2 linked regions of the Ovis aries genome follow. The protein of the gene in region 2 purifies or fractionates together with the protein of the main gene of each other region. This does not show direct contact. Links are inferred from orthologs where the notes say so. Each region holds a gene or a part of one and is shown on either strand. Other genes may lie near its edges.

What was found.
Region 1: the proteins of IRF2 (region 2) and IRF2BP1 purify together in Homo sapiens (affinity purification with mass spectrometry; 4 studies listed by BioGRID and IntAct, counting the BioPlex papers as one, with this or other methods). This does not show direct contact. The link is inferred for Ovis aries from reciprocal best matches to the Homo sapiens genes IRF2 and IRF2BP1.

Annotation. Positions count from the first base shown.
Region 1 is NC_056067.1:53,190,049-53,194,038, reverse strand, and holds IRF2BP1 (interferon regulatory factor 2-binding protein 1), read left to right. Parts: upstream 1-1,183; 5' UTR 1,184-1,503; coding exon 1,504-3,258; 3' UTR 3,259-3,676; downstream 3,677-3,990. UniProt on the Homo sapiens protein: Acts as a transcriptional corepressor in a IRF2-dependent manner; this repression is not mediated by histone deacetylase activities. May act as an E3 ligase towards JDP2, enhancing its polyubiquitination. Represses ATF2-dependent transcriptional activation.
Region 2 is NC_056079.1:14,090,890-14,094,915, forward strand, and holds the start of IRF2 (interferon regulatory factor 2), read right to left. Parts: upstream 2,805-4,026; coding exon 2,718-2,804; intron 1-2,717. UniProt on the Homo sapiens protein: Specifically binds to the upstream regulatory region of type I IFN and IFN-inducible MHC class I genes (the interferon consensus sequence (ICS)) and represses those genes. Also acts as an activator for several genes including H4 and IL7.

The DNA of each region.
Region 1 (3,990 bases), on a different chromosome or scaffold from region 2:
CAAAGAGTCAAACAAGGCTTAGCGACTGGAGAACAACAGACCCAGGCCTAGAGAAAAGAGGCTGATGTAGGTTAGAATCTGGAAACCTGTCTCTCCTCCACATGCCCCCTTCTCCAAGCATGCCCTGCAGCGTTCCATCGCCGGGAAGCACGAGGGTCCCAAAAGCCTGCTTTTGCCTATCAGGTAGTAAGCACTCAAGGTTGGAAAAACGAGGTCTGGTTCTCGCTCTCCACAGAAACTATGCCCCACTTCCAACTCTTGCTATCTCTGGCCTCATTTTCTCCTTCCAAATTAGTGAGCCGTCGAGGTCGAGAGCTCCTCTCAACCGGGCGCTCCGAAACCCCAGAAATTGAGGTGGGGGGTGGGTTGTGGACAGACAGCGGGAATCGTGAAGGCCTCAATCAACCTCTCAGGCGGCGGAAGTGCGTCGGTTTGTCGGCCCCGCGGAGCATTTCGGGAATTGTAGTGAAGTTCTGCGGGGTGCGCAGAAACTGACAGTGTAACCCTTTGGAGACCAGAGCGCGCCGGCTGAACTGGAACAGGGGCATTCGACCACTCCCTTTGGCAGATAAAGCAACTGACGCGGAGACCTTGAGTCCTCTCTTCTCTCCGGTTTTCGCTTGCCCCAGTCAAGAATCTGATATCCAAGATTCTAGGCAAGACGAAGTGCCAAGTGGACAGCCCTACCCAACGCTTGAGTCGCCAGCTTCCTGTCCGCCCCCCTACCCTGAAACCTTCCAGTTAAGGCCCCTCCGCCCCCGTCCCACGAACTGCTGCCTTCAGTAACCGGTAGCCGGCCCACCTTTTGAAGGGCGGGGAACTGAATCTCAGAGAAGGCAAGACTTGCCTAAAGTTGCACAGCAAGTCGGAGTAGAAACCGGATGCCTGTCCACCTCCCGCAATTTCTGAATCCTCGGTGGCTCTCACCATCCGTATCACATCCTCGCCCCCAACCTTGGTCTCCAGCTGCTTGGAGCGACCAAACTCCCTCCCCCGCGGCGAGGAGTAATCACGGTTGCGCAGCGGAGAGGCAGCGAGCCCCAACCCTCCTGCAGCCTGCGGTCCCCTTTAAGAACAGGCCCCTGCGGGACTACGTTTCCCAGAAGGCTTTGCCGGTGCGTTATGTAACTTTCCCTGCGAAGCGGCCTCTGGGGCAGAAAGAGGCGGCGGCGGCTGCGGCGGCGGGAGAGGCGGGAGCCCGAGGCGGCGGCGCCCGCGGCCCATCGCGGGGCCCGAGCTGTGCGCCGCGGCCCGGATCCTGGACCCGGCGGGGGCGCCGACGTGCCTCTGCCAGTCTTTTCGAGGAGGCGGGAGTGAGGAAAAAGGCTTAGGGCCCAGGGGGCGGGGAAGGGGGGCCGGGCCTGGATCCACTGGGAGGCCGAGCGAAAGGCCTGGCGGTGGCTCGCGCGGTCCCGGGGACGCGAATCAAACGGCGGCGGCGCGGATTGAACGGCGGCGGCGGCGGGTGGAAGGCGAGAGCCCGAACGGGCGCGTGCGGGGGCTATGGCGTCCGTGCAGGCGTCCCGCCGCCAGTGGTGCTACCTGTGCGACCTGCCCAAGATGCCGTGGGCCATGGTGTGGGACTTCAGTGAAGCCGTGTGCCGCGGATGCGTGAACTTCGAGGGCGCGGATCGCATCGAGCTGCTCATTGATGCCGCCCGCCAGCTCAAGCGCAGCCACGTGCTCCCCGAGGGCCGTTCTCCGGGGCCCCCAGCCCTCAAACACCCGGCCACTAAGGACCTGGCTGCCGCCGCCGCACAGGGCCCTCAGTTGCCGCCTCCACAGGCCCAGCCCCAGCCGTCGGGGACAGGCGGCGCTGTCTCCGGCCAGGACCGCTATGACAGGGCCACATCGTCGGGCCGCCTCCCCCTGCCCTCGCCCGCCCTGGAGTACACCCTGGGGTCCCGCCTGGCCAATGGACTGGGCCGTGAAGAGGCTGTGGCGGAGGGGGCGCGAAGGGCCCTGCTTGGCTCCATGCCCGGCTTGGTGCCCCCCGGGCTGCTAGCAGCTGCGGTGTCTGGCCTGGGAAGCCGAGGGCTGACGCTGGCACCCGGCTTGAGTCCTGCCCGTCCAGCTTTTGGCTCCGATTTCGAGAAGGAGAAGCAACAGAGGAATGCGGACTGTCTGGCAGAACTGAACGAGGCCATGAGGGGCCGGGCAGAGGAATGGCACGGGCGCCCCAAAGCCGTGCGGGAACAACTGCTGGCGCTGTCCGCCTGCGCCCCTTTCAATGTCCGTTTCAAGAAGGATCACGGGCTGGTGGGACGTGTGTTCGCCTTCGATGCTACTGCCCGCCCGCCAGGCTACGAGTTCGAGCTGAAGCTCTTCACCGAATACCCCTGTGGTTCTGGCAACGTGTACGCGGGAGTCCTGGCAGTCGCTCGCCAGATGTTTCATGATGCTCTGCGCGAGCCGGGCAAGGCGCTGGCCTCATCAGGCTTCAAGTACCTCGAATATGAACGCCGGCACGGCTCTGGGGAATGGCGCCAGCTGGGAGAGCTGCTAACGGATGGGGTCCGAAGCTTCCGCGAGCCAGCACCCGCCGAGGCCCTGCCCCAGCAGTATCCAGAGCCGGCCCCTGCAGCTCTCTGCGGCCCTCCCCCACGAGCCCCATCCCGGAATCTGGCTCCCACTCCACGCCGTCGCAAGGCCTCCCCTGAGCCCGAGGGCGAGGCAGCTGGGAAGATGACCACAGAGGAGCAGCAGCAGCGGCACTGGGTGGCACCCGGTGGCCCATTCTCCGCTGATGCCCCTGGTGTGCCCTCCCCTATCGCCGCCCTGAAGAACGTAGCCGAGGCCCTGGGCCACTCTCCCAAGGACCCTGCCGGGAGTGGGGGCCCTGTGCGCGCCGGGGGTGCCAGCCCCGCCGCCTCCTCCACGGCCCCACCTCCAGCCCAGCATCGTCTAGTGGCCCGCAACGGTGAGGCAGAAGTGAGCCCCACAGCAGGGGCGGAAGCTGTTAGCGGGGGTGGTAGTGGCACCGGGGCGACCCCTGGGGCCCCCCTGTGCTGCACCCTCTGCCGGGAGCGTCTGGAAGACACCCACTTCGTCCAGTGCCCCTCAGTGCCCGGACATAAGTTTTGTTTTCCCTGCTCCCGCGAGTTCATCAAGGCTCAGGGCCCTGCTGGAGAGGTGTACTGCCCCAGCGGAGACAAGTGCCCGCTAGTGGGCTCCTCTGTCCCCTGGGCCTTCATGCAGGGAGAGATCGCCACCATTCTTGCTGGAGACATCAAGGTTAAGAAAGAACGGGACCCCTAGGCCACTACTGCCACCAGTCTACTGCCTATCCACCCCCGCCCCCCTCCACCCCTTGCCACCCACCGCTGCTGCGGATAAATTATTCCCTCCCCTACCCAGGCCTGTGCCTCCCTCACCTGTGTACATACCCACTTCCTTATCCCAGATGGGTCCCCTGGGGTAGATGCATTGAGGGTGGGGGGAGAAAGCTGTCCGAGGGGGTGTTTGGGGTCCCCTGACCCCTCTGGTTTCCCTCTCCCCTCCTTGGCTTGGCTTTGCTGCTGCTTGTAGTTGAGGGAGAGGTGGCCCCCTCCTCCTTGAGAAGGGGCCTCCTGAAATCTCGCTCTTTATAAATGAAGCAAAAGCATTTTATTGCCGCCCCCCCCCCCCCATCTTACCCCCTTTCCCCCCTTCAATAAACCGAAAGATGGGTTTTTTCCTTCTTGGTCCCTTAGTTGTGTGCGATGCTGCGCCCCCTTTGGGACTAAACTGAACCTGCAAGGGAGAGGACGTCGCGTTGTAGCCTCCAGGTGGCGCCCTTCACTCAGGTGGGCTCACCGGCTGTTTTTACAAAGGCTGGCCTAGCCTTCTAGTCATCAGCCCGTTTTCCAGATGCCAGAACTAAGGCTCACGCGGGGAGCCGGGCGGGGGAAGGGGATGGCTCTTGAATGGTAGCCACAGCCAAGCTCGGGAATTAGGTTTCCCGTCTGGCCCATCCCCGGAAGGTAGAGGACACAGTGCCCCCGAGGGGGA
Region 2 (4,026 bases):
GCTGCAGACTTTAGTCCCCGCCTTCTTCTCCACTTGGCCCTTCCCTCTGTGGGTGTGTCCCCTCATTTGTGTCTTTTTTTTAAAAAAGATTTTTTTGTTTTTATTTTTATGCAGACCATTATTTTAAAGTCTTCACTGAATCTGTTACAATATTGCTTCTGTTCTATGTTTTGGTTTCTTGGCTGAAAGGCATGTGAGCTCTTGGCTCCTTGACCAGGGATTGAACCTACAGCCCCTGCACTGGAAGGTGAATTATCTTAACCCCTTGACTGCCAGGGAAGTCCCTCTTCTGTGTCTTATAAGTACCCTTGTCGCTGGATCAGCCCACCAGGTAATCCAGGATGATCTCATCGACATCCTTACGTTAGTTACATCTGCCAAGATCCTTTCTCCAAATAAGGTCACAACCACGGGTTCTGGGGGTCAGGATGTGGACATATCTTTGAGGGGGGCTACTGTTCAACCTACTAGACAACAACACACTGCAGTGTATTAACAGCCCACTTGCAGGAGACGTGGTGACGTTTGAAGCACGCCACTGGGTCAAGCTAGCCCAGACGGGTGGGTGGGTTTTGAAAAGGAAAAAGCAAAGGCAAACAACCGACTTCTCTTCAGAAATCGGGAACATCTGCTTTAACTTCACATCCTAAATCAATACAGGCAATATTACCAGTTCTTCAGAATACACTCCTCCTAAACCTATGAGCCTTGATTTCCTTGTCTGTAAAACGACAAAAAGATCTACCTGATGACTTGTCAAAACTCAACATTCAGAAAACTAAGATTATGGCATCTGGTCCCATCACTTCATGGCAAATGGATGGGGAAACAGTGGAAACAACGACTTTATTTTTGGGGGTTCCAAAATCACTGATGATGGTGACTGCAGCCATGAAATTAAAAGATGCTTGCTCTTGGGAAGAAAAGTTATGACCAACCTAGACAGCTTATTAAAAAGCAGAGACATTACTTTGCCAACAAAGGTCTGTCTAGTCAAAGCTATGGTTTTTCCAGTAGTCATGTATGGATGTGAGAGTTGGACTATAAAGAAAACTGAGCGCCGAAGAACTTTTGAACTGTGGTGCAGGAGAAGACACTTGAGAGTCCCTTGGACTGCAAGGAGATCCAACCAGTCCATTCTAAAGGAGATCAGTCCTGGGTGTTCATTGGAAGGACTGATGCTGAAGCTGAAACTCCAATACTTTGGCCACCTGATGCAAAGAACTGACTCATCTGAAAAGACAGTGATGCTGGGAAAGATTGAAGGCGAGAGGAGAAGGGGATGACAGAGGATGAGATGGTTGGATGGCATCATCGACTAGATGAACATGAGTTTGAGTGAACTCCGGGAGTTGGTGATGGACAGGGAGGCCTGGCGTGCTACAGTCCATGGGGTCGCAAAGAGTCGGACACGACTGAGTGACTGAACTGAACTGATGACTTATTTCCTTGGAAGAGGCTAATTACAAAGCCTCTCTGGGATACAAACCTCAAATACTACATACAGACACAGCAAGGCTGGAAAAATATACTGTTTGCTCTAAGACCTTAGAATATAGGACAGGTCATTTGAAATGAGCATATGCTTTACTTAAAATATTTCTGTTTACTTCTATGCCATCTTGTTTCAGAAGGGACTCATTTAAATAGATAACATTCAAATATAATACACCACTACATTTAAAATAAATGAAAAAATAGGTAAATGAGGAAGAAGAAAAAAAGAGATAAGATTGAGAGATATCTGAGAAGATAAAAATGAAGTAAGGAACAATATTCATACAAAAATCAGGCTGAACAATATCGTGTATACTTGTTAGGAGCAGTCACAATCTGGCTGTCAGCTCTTGGCACGTGATGCAAAGGTAAAGCCTGACCTGCTAAATTATTCATCGTGTCCTTAAGATTAAAAACACACGGGGAGGCAGAAGAGGAAAAAGACACTTGCTCAGAAGAACTGTAATACTCCTAGTAGTGAGAGAGAAATCTCTCTTGGGCTGTCTTAAGAAAGTATGATGCAGTCATTGCTTTTCTAGATTATAACTGAGTATTTCCAGGCGTTCTTTATTTTTACATCCAATGGCTTCCTGATTCATCCCCTAAGAGTCAGGATCAACTAAACTGAGAGTTTTGAGGTTGATGAAAGTAAGAAAGTATTTATGTACATATGTGGGAGGGGGTTGTAAAGGACAGAATACTGCTTTTTTCGGACAGGTAGGCACACAAACAAGAGTTTGATAATAAAAGTAAAATCTTTTTTTTTAAGACAAAAACAAAAGTTTTCTTTATGTAGAGAATACTGAAAAGAAAATCAACATGCTCCTTTCCCAATAGAAAGCCCTAGAGTTTCCATGTCCTCCAACCCTAGAAAACCAGGAGAAGCAAGAAAGAATATTCAGAGATGGAGAAGGGTAAGAAGCACTGAGTAGAAATACAGCCAGACGCTTCCCACAACAGTCATCCATGAGACCAGAGCCTTAACTCGGGGTCAAGGCTACAGTCTGAAGTGATGATAAATCTTCTTTTTATGATTCTTTGATATTTTCATAATCACTTTTGCTCGGTTAGTTTCGGTAATAAATAAGCATACTATTTGGAACACAAAGAACAATTTTACTTGCAGCACTCCACACACAGCTGCTTTTAGTAGGAATCTCTCTCTCACAGACACACACACACACACACACTCACATACACACACACATGCACACACTTACCTTGCTAAGCCACTTCAGCCCTGGTATCATATTTGAGTTAATCTGTTCTTCCAGCCACGGGCGCATACGCATCCTTTCCACCGGCATGGTGTCTTTCTGCAGAAAAGCAAATACAACATCAGGCATTTTTGCTGCTCACTGTCACGTCCGCAGGTGAAGTCTGACACCATGCCTGACTGACTGTACACTCTTCTTTCTCAAAATCGCACAGCTTATGTGTACCCAGAGGCCGGGGGGCTATGAGAGCATATTAGGGGCTTTGCCCTGGAGCATCCTGCCCCACTCATTCCCGAGAGGCTGTCTCCGTGGGATGATGGTGAGTGAGGGCCACTCCTGCTCTCAGCTAAGAGGGTCCCATGATGCAGAAACGCAGCCAGTCAGAGGACTCGGATGCCTAACGCTGGGTTTTGCGCATGCGTGCTCAGTTGCGGCCAACTTTTTGGGACCCTATGGACTGTACCCCGCCAGGATCCTCTGTCCATGGGATTATCCAGGTAAGAATACTGCAGTGGGTTGCCATTCCCTTCTCCAGGGGATCTTCCTAACCAGGGATCCAACTTGCATCTCCTGTGTTTCTGGCATCGGCAGGCCGATTCTCTACCACTGTACCACCTGGGAAACCCTAAGGCTGGGTCTTACCCCCTCCCAACCCGTGTTTGTTTACGGCAGATACCTTCAGTGTATCAGGTACCCAGAGGACCAGTGTTTTACAAGTACCCTTTGACATCATCTTCTAAAGAGCCAAGGGTGGACACAGTAGCCATTCCTTTGGGATATCTGAGTTACTGACAAGCTTCGAAATCCCAACACAGGCACGTTTGGGCAAGCTCTTAAGATATCAGTTCATTTGGTTTCAAGTTCTTTCATCAATTAGCCATCCCCTCCTGATGTAGTCTGTCTCCCCACAGAACACACCAGCCTCCTCCTCCGGCTTCAGCGCCACTTTTATGTGAAAGCATCTCTTATTCAGAGTGCTCCCTCAAGGGTCTTTCTCCACTGCCATGAGTCCCCTCTGACCTGGGGTCACCTTTCCTCCACCGGCCCACAAAACACCTCTCCCTCCTCCTTCCAGATGCATTTCTACACAGTCTATCCCCTGCCCACCTAAATATACCCAGAGCGGGATCACTCACTCATCTTCAGCCTATTTACACACAAGTTTGCATTCGACGCAAAAGCAGAGACAATGGCAACCAAGTCTCCAATTCCGCAGGACTTCATGGACAGTGGGACACGACGCTGTTTTCAACTCTTGGCTGCCTCATCTATCCTTGGCTCATTTTCTCCTCCAGAAATGAGCTCTGGATAT